Danio rerio: one gene and its partner. The protein of the gene in region 2 interacts with the protein of the main gene of each other region in a biochemical or structural test. Links are inferred from orthologs where the notes say so. Each region holds a gene or a part of one and is shown on either strand. Other genes may lie near its edges.

Region 1 (3,952 bases), on a different chromosome or scaffold from region 2:
CAGAAACAGGCAAAGTTTCAGAGTAGCTACTTGATACTTGAAGCTTGAAAACACAATCAATCATTCTTTGCCATTCAGTCAGCCTTTTAGATGTGGGGGTTTAGCCCTCCTCCCTCCCTAGCACCACATGTTCATGACATTTTTTTTAATCCCAAAAAGTTCAGCACATTTCAGTAGTAAGCTTTCACAAATGTCCACAGCAGATCTAGACCACCAAGATCAAACCTAAAGTCGTATAATATTGACGGTTATCATAATAGAAATAATGGATATGTGGGTCTAATCAACGCTAGTGACAATTATTCCATGATTAAAACAATAATAGACTCAGCTATGGTACCAACATGCACCACAAGTCTCAAACCTGCCATCAAAAAAGAAGAATTTTCCTTTTCCATTCTTCTCGCCATGAACAAAATGTCCTTCAAATCTGTCACTGGAGGAGTAGGTCACAGTGCAGAAACCATGAGGCTGGTCATCCTCATCCAGTGGTCCTAAAAAGTCATGACATCAAAGATAAATAACCAATGTACTCCATATAACTCAACGATAATTTTAATGGACCAAGGCTGCGTTTCCCAAAAGCATCATAACCAGCGAAATTGCTTCAAAAAACAAAATTAAAGTACTAAGTACTATTCTAATTACTAACATAATATTAAAGTTTATACAACAGTTCTGTCTGGTTCTCGAATCTGATTGGCTGATAGCCATGAGACATTAAAGTAACATAAGCACTCATACCGCGTCTTCACCGTTGTGTATTACTCCGCCCACACAAGCGACAAGCAGAGGACTACAGTTTGACAAATATTGCTGCTGTTGGACAACATAACGTACTTTTGAGGCTTTTTAGTGGAGAATGTAGTTGTTTAAACTGCAACTATGCAGTTTATTTATAAGGATAGAGCCTATTTTAAATATTTATAATTTTGGAGATAAAGCACATCAGCATCCATTGGCCTGTCATACTGAGCAGAGCAAAGACGGCTGACGATCCGCCACAAGGTGGCGACACAGACCACATAATAAGCCCTTAAAGGAGAAAAACTCAGCGTAATTTCAATCTACATCTGATCAAATCATCATAAAACAGGTAAGTGACTTTCTAAGTCGATCTCGCTCTTGTATGTTGTAAAGTTAGTGCTGTAATTATATCATAGTCTGGTAGTGTTTGCTTTGCTTTGGCTTTTTTGAGGTTAATTATTGTAAATGCAACAGAAATACTGGGAAATCTCTGTAGACTGATGGCATTTCATGTTGTTCAGCCTTATAATCTCAAAATGTGAGCAAAATCACAAATTTTGTCATCACTTTAAACATTATACAAGAGAATCAATCAAAAACTAGCTCTAAAGTGACGTTTGTGAAGTAGCAACAGTATCTGCTGTTCTGACGTCAGCTGCAGATGTGTAAACAGCAAAAGAAAGTAGTTCCTCATACAAAAGGACTTTAAGACTCTCTTTGTGCGATGTTTATTTTTATATACATTACTTTGCCATCGAACAACGTATAAACGCAATATCACACTTGTAAAAGTGCGATAAAGCTGTATATATTCACTGGTGGGACACTAAGCCCACACCTCCCACCAGTCCCAATATACAGCCATATCGCACTGCTACGAGTGTGATATTGCTCAACTACCACACAAAACTGTAATTTATTTATAATGCAATTGACTTTTTTTATGCAACTCATAGACAAATGTAACCTCTGCCACTGTTTTTGTCTTGATAAAAGCTGTCTTGATAAATGCAACCTTGTTTATTTAAAAAAAAAAAACTATTTTTCTGCAAAATATATCTGAACAAAAAATTATTCTGCTGGTCTTAATAAATTTATACAAAACTAATGATTTATTATGACTATTTATGTGTATTTAGAGCAGGTATATTAGAAGTATTTAAAGTAACCCCTTTACTTTTTTTTTTTTGCAAATAAACAAATTTATTTACAGCAACTAGTTAACTGTAAGGGATTACACCCAACACTGATCATGACTAACAGAGCTAAAACTAACTTAGGCTTGCAACGCTTTTAGGAAACGCAGCCCAGGATAGTAATATCACTTCACTGTACTGTATATTTCACATATAGCAAAAACCTTTCTTTGGTACACCTAGGTTTAATAATATAAGTCCACACAGTTGACACCCATGCAATGTGCAGGTCTGAATTAATCAACTATAGTGTCCACACTACACATTGATAACCACGTGGCTTCAACAACACTAGAATGTAACGTTACACCAAATTATAAATCTAGCACATTTACAGGCCCATTAACACGTTTATATACAGTATACGAAGACATAATAAAACTAGATGTGTTTAACGTTAGATAGAAATCAATTAATTAGTCTTTATTGTCTCTGTTAATAATACTGTACAGTATTTGCGTTCATGGTAGTCCAGAGAAATCGTATTTAAGTAAAAAAGCCCAAATAACACTCGTTTGTCATCTGGAGGATTAAGAAAGGGTCTAGTTTACGGGCCTCGGGTGTTTGACAGCTTGTTTACACAGGAAATCTTGTCGGTAAGCTAATCCTCGACGGAATGAGACTGCATAAAAGTTCAGCCTGACAGCCCAGAAAAACAAGCTTACGCGCGTGCGCGCACACACACTGCGTGGTTTACGAATAAGCTTCTCGTACCTTCCACCACTTCTTCCATGTTGTCATCATCGCTGTCCATGTTTAGCCTTTTCTCAGTTGTGTATTAAAGGAATAACGGCGTGATGTTTATGCCTGTCGCGGAAGCTTCAGAGCTGTCAGTTCTCCGGCGCACAATGTCTGACATCATCAGCCCTGCACTGATTTCTGTTTACGCAAGAGAAGCTGTGCTCTGAGTCGATTCAGCGAATCGGTTCACTTGGACAAATCGCTTTGCCGTCAATCGCTAAACGATTCATTGCTTGGTTGAGTCAGAAATCCAGGGAGATTGTACAAATAAAGCGTAATATTGGCTTTAAAATATATGAACGGAAAATTGCAAATTTTAGGTTTAAGTTTGAATGTATTTCTTCTTCTTTCTTTTAGAATGAATTGTACATTTAAATATGTGTAGTACTCCTGGCATGACTGAGCGCTGCCAACGAGTTTTAACTAACATGTTAGCATGTTTCTAGAATGATTAATCACATTTGACATTAAAACGTTGCTGTTTTTGCAGTTTAACACCGCAAATAGGTTAATTTGGACAATTTGCTTCGCTGTAAATTGCAAAAACAATGCATTATTTGCATTTGTCACAAAGCTAGTAGGGGAAATGAACAAATAAAACTTAATATTGGCTTTAGAATTTATGACAAGAAAATTATGGATTTAAGCTTTATGTGTAAATATTTTTTTCTCTTTCTTTTAATATAATTAATTTAACATTTACTGTTATATGTGTAGCACTCCTGGCATGATTCAGCACTGCTAAGAATGGGTTTTAACCACAGCGGTTTGAACTGTAGTTCTGCCGAGTGACTAAAAAGTTGTCAGCATGATGGTAAAAAACTAAATTTCTAGTCAAACCATTCTTCTGCAATCTCATACCAAAATAAGGAAATAAGGGCAGTATTAATAGCTATAAATGTGGGAGAGCGTTGACATTTTGTGATTGTATTGTATTGCAATATGGAACAATTAAATGTTGATGTTAAATCAAAAGTAATTCACAAACACTTGAATATGAGATGATTTAATGGAAATAAGTTCTCTATGGTTACAACTGAATTAATTACAAAATAACTGTATGAAATGATAAAATATGAAATGACAAAACACATGATATAAATTGTACCCAGCTTAAATGTAAAACTAAAGTTACCAGAGGTAAAAGGAGAGACACAGGGGGGAGAGACAAAGAGAGCAGGCCCAGAAGTTAGCCAGATTGCAGTAGAGTCAGAGAAGATAGACTCCAATGGAGAAGAGGAGCAGAGCAGGAGAGAAGCAGACCAGGA
Region 2 (6,383 bases):
CAGTGTGCTGACAACACCGCTATTCAGTACGCGCGCGACAACACAGCTGATAAGAACTCGCGCGACAACACCGCTATTAAGTACGCACGCGGCGACAACACCCGCTTTAGAGTTTTCCAGCTCTTTTTTCATCCCCGCTTCTAGCAGCACACTCTATTTCCGCATTACTGGATCTGTAGCGACAACAGACCGCAAGGGATGATGGTCAAGCATGGGCTGATGGGAATTGTAGTTTTCGCTACCTCCCGTTCGCTTCATTCGCCTGAGCAAATTTTCTCAGAAGACCTATAGTTTTACTGAGTCGTGCGACTTCGGTAATATCAAAAAAAATTAATATTGCGGTATGACGGTATTTACAATACAGTTACATCCCTAGTAATAATACATTGTGTAACATGGTTCTATAAAGAGACTCAATGGAAGCCAAACCTGCTTGATGGAAGCCCTCAGACAGACCACCACAGCCAGAGAATACATCCAGAGTGCGCAGTTTGGGAACCACTGGCTCTTGTGGCTCCTGATCCTGTGGTTCTTGAGGCGCTGCTTTCCCTTTCCCTTTTCCTACAGACAACCATGGTACAAACATTTAAGCTGCAATTTCTCCCCACATGCAGTTATGATTGTGTTCAGATATTTAAGCCATCTTGAATCCACGATGGACCATTTTTAGCTTAAAAAAAACACAAGAGCATACCTAGAAGTTTCCATTACTTATTTCAACATTACACTTGACTTACCTTTGCCCTTTCCTTTCCCTTTGCCCTTATTCACAGCAGATCTAGCATGATTGGGAGGATCCTCAAAGCTCTTGGTTTTGGCATTGTATGCCTACAAAAAGAACCATTAGGTAAGTCATGGCAGAAAATATTTTCAGCTGCATTACGAGTACCATTGGCAGCTCCATTACAGCCAGATTTTATCCTTACCTCAAGGAAATAGAAGCGATCGGGTCCTTTGTTTGAATAGTCCTGCACACTTTCAACCAGATCCTCTGCATACTCAACACGACAGCGTGTCAGCACCTCAGTCATGCTGACGGTCGCCTCTTCGTCACTCCAGTAGAGTTGGTTTATATCAGAATGATATGCTCCCTTTGGTCCCTTGTGAGTGTTTTCAGGTCTGAAAGCAAACAAGTTTGGGGAGAAAAATAGTATTGAACTCCCTTAAGGTACAACCTCAAAATCAGACGCACTGGTTGGAATCATTCCGGAGAATAAAAGAGTTACCTGTAGAATTTATAGAGGCGCAGTTTGATCTCTGAGGTGTCTGGCTTTCCATTGCTGCGCTTGTTGCAGAAGATTTCTTTGATGCGCCCAATGCGGAAAGGCTGAGGAGCATCCAGATTTGAGCCTTTAATGTAATCAGAGGACTTCCTGTAGTATTCAGGGTAAAGATCTTCATCAACGTCATCTTTTCTGTGGGAACGCTTCACCGGGCTTGCAGCCTTTACTCTAAAAGACAAGAGGTCCATTTAATAAAACCACTCAAATAGAAATCCCTTGAGGCAGTAAATAATAAAGAGCTTACACAAAGTTAAAGGCCTCAGGTGGTAGGTAGACACTGTCCCCTACTTTGTACTGCTCTCCCTTATAGTTCACCAACCCATAGAAGACTTTAGAGTCACTCTCCTCATCCTCTAAGGGCTCATAGGCATGGGGAACAGACTCAGCCTCTCGTTCTTTGTTTCTGGTGCAGCTGGCACAAAACCTAGTGAAACATAACATTTTATAGCACAAATACAGAACAGGTGTCCCATTAAAATAGGTCAAAAGGGGCTCTTACTTATACTTGCAGTCCTCAGAGGGTGTGACCTTGGGAGGAGTCTCAAAGCGAGCACATTCACCTTCATAATGGAGCTGATAAAAGAAGCTTTCACCATCATCGTCAATCACTTTGATGTCTTCATCCATTCCACCCTTCAAAACAATAACAGTGTTAAAACCTCTGCCCAGTTTGTTAAACACAAACACTGCCCACACTTTGGCGTATGTACCTCCATATACCAGTTTTCAGATGGTGCCTTGTAGAAGACGTTGACCTTGCCATGGATAAAACTTAGCTGCATGTCTTCACACTCATCCACTAGGAAGAGCTCAAGAGGGTCTGATGACTCTCCAAGGACCGTATCAGTGCCACGGCAGAACCAATGGGCATGAAACATCTTCTCACCATCATCCCACAAAGCTGTAATCCTACAAATTTAAAGAAACCAATGATTTACTAATTAGAGAGTCTAGTAAACATGTTAAACCTTTTGGTTTTACAAAAGAAATTGCTTTGATAATTTTACCTGGCCAGGTAGAGAGGATGTGATGGGTCATCAGGGCTTACAGATACACAATCTCCCACCTCCAACACCTCATTTTCCACACGCACTTTCATGTAATATTCCTTCTTTCCCTCAGTCTGAAAAGATGACGGCAAAAAAAAAATAAAAATTTAAAGTCTTCTAAATTTGGGAGGGGAGAAAAGTCTCCAGCCACATGAAAGCTAAAAGGGTTAGTAGCACAACTTGACAAACTAAGGCAAAAACAGCAAAAGCCATGAAACAAAAAGGAGTTTACCAGCTACAACAACACCATTTCTAAAAAATTTGAAGACTACAGTGTTAAGATTTTATTTCCCTAATACTGCATCGGATTATGGACCAATGACCAAACCAAGTAGAAAAATCTACTGTTTTGCAAATACCCATTTGAGTAGACATGGCCATAGTCCTGGAAAAAAAAAAAAAAAAAAAAAAAAAAATATTGTGTCCGCTGCCAGATAAAGATTGCATACCTTTAATGGCTCACCAACCCAGCTGATTTTGTTCTTGGTTTGTTTCTTCTTCTTGGTCTGAGACATTTTCTTTGTATCCTTAACTGGCAACACATCCTCCTCATCCATGTTCTCATCATCCTCAGCTTCTTTCACTGCCAGGTTGGGACACCTGGATGGACAAAACAAACATTAGGCTTTAACCTGGCAAACAAATCCAAAATCATGAAGTTCGATATCACCAACAGGATCTGCTTCTCAAAAGGGCTATTCTACTGTTTGGTTCAGAGACCAAGTGTGCTCTGACCTTTAATAGTTCAAAACAACAAACCTGGAGTCACCAAATATTGTGCAATCAACACAAGGTTGATATATTCATGATGTGCCTAAGGCCCTGTTTACACTAATGCGTTTTAGTTTGAAAACGCATAAGTTTAGCTACGGTTACGCCAACTGTCCACACTACGCCGGAGTTCGAGCGCCGAAAACAGAGCGTTTCGAAAACGCTGGAGAGGCCGTTTTCATTCTGAAACGCTGGTGCTCCGTCTTAAGTGTGGATGAGCAAAAACGGAGACATCTGAAAATGGAGGCTGGGCTGTAGACATTCGCTTCTCTGATTGGGGCTTTTCCTCAATATTAAGTAGCCTAACACACACAGTTCAGTCCTGCATCCTCTCCTTGCAAGTTCAGACTTTGCAAGTTTGATCAAGGCTGCAGTCTATTCTTCTCAGTTTGATATGGAAAACAGACTATACCGAGGACACGGGTAAATCTTCAAAGAGAACAGTGTACTGTATAACTTCATTCACCCTGGCTACGTTGTTTCACTTTCTCAACAATAAAATCAAATGTAAACATGATTTAAGGAACTGCCTATTTTCATTTTGATATTAGCAACTTAACAGACAGCAGAAATGTTGAGGCGTCGGGCTGCATGCGAGCGTCATCTTCACTGTGTGGATATTTATAACAAAACGGAGCCGATAACAACTGCCTCCTTTCAATTTCAGTTAAAATACGAAACATACCCTCTCTTTTGCTGAATATAAGTTTTAATAATCGATAATGGCCATTATAAAAATATAACATACAATAATTTTATACATTATAGGAAATAAAGGCAAGCGATCAGTCAATAATACAGAATAGGCTACGTGGTTACATTGATCATTAACTTATCTTTGCGCTTAGCCAAAACACGTTACCTGAGAACAAGTAGGCTAATATATTCTAGTGACCAAAGTCAGGGAATATGTCGTTAGATAAAGACAACAAGATGAATGAAATATCACGTTTAATAAATATAGTGAGATTAGATCCAGCAGGAGATGCTTGATGAGAAGTCCGACTAGCACAGCTCTCATCTGGGTAGATGGGCTGCAGCGCTGGCCCGAATGTGTGTGTGTGTGTGTGTGTGTGTGGTCATGTGATGTGCGTTTTCAGAATTTTGGTGTGGACGGAGAGCAGTTCAGAAACGCTGGGTAAAAAGCGAGTGTGGACGCGGATCGTTTTCATTCTAAAACGATGTTTTAATACTAAAACGCACTAGTGTAAACGGGGCCTAAAAGGTCAACAACTAGGAAGTTGTTTAAGACAATTAGATATCATTGTAACATTTAATCTGAGATCAATTAAATATACATGCCTAGGTAAATGAAATGCCAATTTAAAATGGCATGAGTATAGACAAAATTGGCACTATAAATAGTAAAAACTATTAAAAACCTTAATTGTTGAATGACATTTAGCCTCATTCAAAATGTTAATCATTATAATATAAAAACAGAGAAAGCAAAGAAAGGCCTTTAAAACACATGGAAAATACAAAACTGCTGAGGAGAATGATTACGCAACAGCAAAGACTGCACAGTAAGCATACCTCCTCTTCTGACAGGCTTGTTTACTTCTGCCACTGCCTCCAAACTTGATCATATCCTTACAAGCTGAACACTTGCCGCAGTCTGGAGCTTGACACACCTGAAATACCAAGGTCGCCAATCATCATGCTTGCATTTCAGTTAAACTGTGCCTGCTATTTTCAGACAACCAACCTCACAGACACCACACCGTTGTCTCTTCACACCTCCATCCTTATTGTTCTGGTCAATCTGATCAGAGAAGAATGTGTCAAAGATCAGGTAGACCAGTTTAGTGGTGGTGGCTTTAGTCGGGCCCTTGTTGTCCTTTTCAATCTTAGTGGGATGGCGGACGGCTTGTCTTCTGGCTGCTCTCCTGAACAGGGGAAAAAAAAAAAACATGAGCAGAGCAAACAAGATACAGAGGGCACAAATAAAAGCAAAAAAGAGCCATGCGTTTAATGCACAAGACACAATGGATTGAGTTAAGACAAACAGCTCTGAAGTAACTAAACCCATTTAAACTGAAAAAAGATGTTCAGATTTCCCAAATGGACAACTTAAACAACAGGGTGCCAAATTAACATCTGTTATGCAGATCATGCAAGTCAGGAAGGTTTAAAAAAAATAAATAAACAAGTTCTCATGTTTTTGTTCTCCTCACCCACCCATTTCAGCTAATGAAGCAGTTTACCACCAACACAGGCGACTGCAGTTCAGCATATGGAAATATAAATAACCAAGCCACACACTCTGCAGAAACATCAGGATTTACATACCAGTACAGCTGCCTGCTGCATTAGAGAAAGTTAAAGGACCATTAGAAACAAATAACATGGTACCACAACTAAACCTCAAAATCTTAAGTCACTGAATTTTCAGACTTGCAAAAAAATAAATTGTGCAAACCTGTTATCTAGTACCAAAATAGCAGCTCCCGCATTCACAAATTGGTTTAAGCTACATGAATACATTATATGTCCTATGAGAAACACCGATAGCCCTCCCTGATGGTCCACAATATTGAAGCCCATGCCTCATGCAGGATAAAATAACAAATTGGTTTCAGTTGCTAAGAGAACAGTTTGAGGTCTGCTTTCTGGGTACCAGTATATCGAACCCACCATTACCCAGTTATCTCATTGAAGGCATTTAAGAGACCACCAATTCTAGTAAACTCACCTCTTGCCCAAAGTAACACCAGCCAGCTTGATCAAGTCACGCATACATGGAGTGATTATAATGGGTTGTTCATCAGAGTCTCCAGCCTCATCGTAGCTCTCGACCTGCTCTACCACAAACTGGGCATGGCGCAAGAGTGTGTCTTCTGTGAAACGGTTGAAGTTGAGCCCCGCGGGCGGGACAGTAGTCTAAAAAGACAAATAACAGGTTATCCCACAACTTCTAAAATGGGACAAGTGGCAAAGAACTTCAATGCTCCCATAAAGTGTACCTCTATTTTGTTCAGCAGGTCCTCATATGTGGCATCCTGGTTTTTCTGAAGAAATTCAACCACAATTTTGCTCATGTAGATCTTCTCCTGCATCAGAGCAAAAATAGCAGAGTACTCCTCACTGGGGTCCATTAGGATATAGTCAGCAAACGCTGTCGAAAAGAAAATGAAACTAGTTAAATGGCCATGCATAATAAAACTGGACAAGGATAAGAGTCAACTTTGCTTTGAAACATACCTGTAGTGAAGCCAATCAAAGCCTTCTCCCCACCATCAAAACCAGTGATCCACCAAGCATTGATGGGACCAAGCTT

Evidence for each region. The genes of interacting proteins can lie anywhere in the genome.
Region 1: of the proteins of dnmt1 (region 2) and setd7, one has a biochemical effect on the other in vitro, tested with the Homo sapiens proteins (2 studies listed by BioGRID and IntAct, with this or other methods). The link is inferred for Danio rerio from reciprocal best matches to the Homo sapiens genes DNMT1 and SETD7.

The regions. Positions count from the first base shown.
Region 1 is NC_133189.1:50,835,559-50,839,510, forward strand, and holds the start of setd7 (histone-lysine N-methyltransferase SETD7), read right to left. Parts: upstream 2,801-3,952; 5' UTR 2,698-2,800; coding exon of another isoform or gene 2,658-2,697; intron 495-2,657; coding exon of another isoform or gene 365-494; intron 1-364. UniProt on the Homo sapiens protein: Histone methyltransferase that specifically monomethylates 'Lys-4' of histone H3. H3 'Lys-4' methylation represents a specific tag for epigenetic transcriptional activation.
Region 2 is NC_133178.1:57,142,040-57,148,422, forward strand, and holds part of dnmt1 (DNA (cytosine-5)-methyltransferase 1), read right to left. Parts: coding exon 6,308-6,383; intron 6,222-6,307; coding exon 6,070-6,221; intron 5,987-6,069; coding exon 5,799-5,986; intron 5,411-5,798; coding exon of another isoform or gene 5,396-5,410; intron 4,993-5,395; coding exon 4,812-4,992; intron 4,738-4,811; coding exon 4,640-4,737; intron 2,933-4,639; coding exon 2,782-2,932; intron 2,407-2,781; coding exon 2,291-2,406; intron 2,193-2,290; coding exon 1,994-2,192; intron 1,917-1,993; coding exon 1,783-1,916; intron 1,708-1,782; coding exon 1,528-1,707; intron 1,452-1,527; coding exon 1,227-1,451; intron 1,120-1,226; coding exon 927-1,119; intron 829-926; coding exon 738-828; intron 562-737; coding exon 430-561; intron 1-429. UniProt on the Homo sapiens protein: Methylates CpG residues. Preferentially methylates hemimethylated DNA. Associates with DNA replication sites in S phase maintaining the methylation pattern in the newly synthesized strand, that is essential for epigenetic inheritance.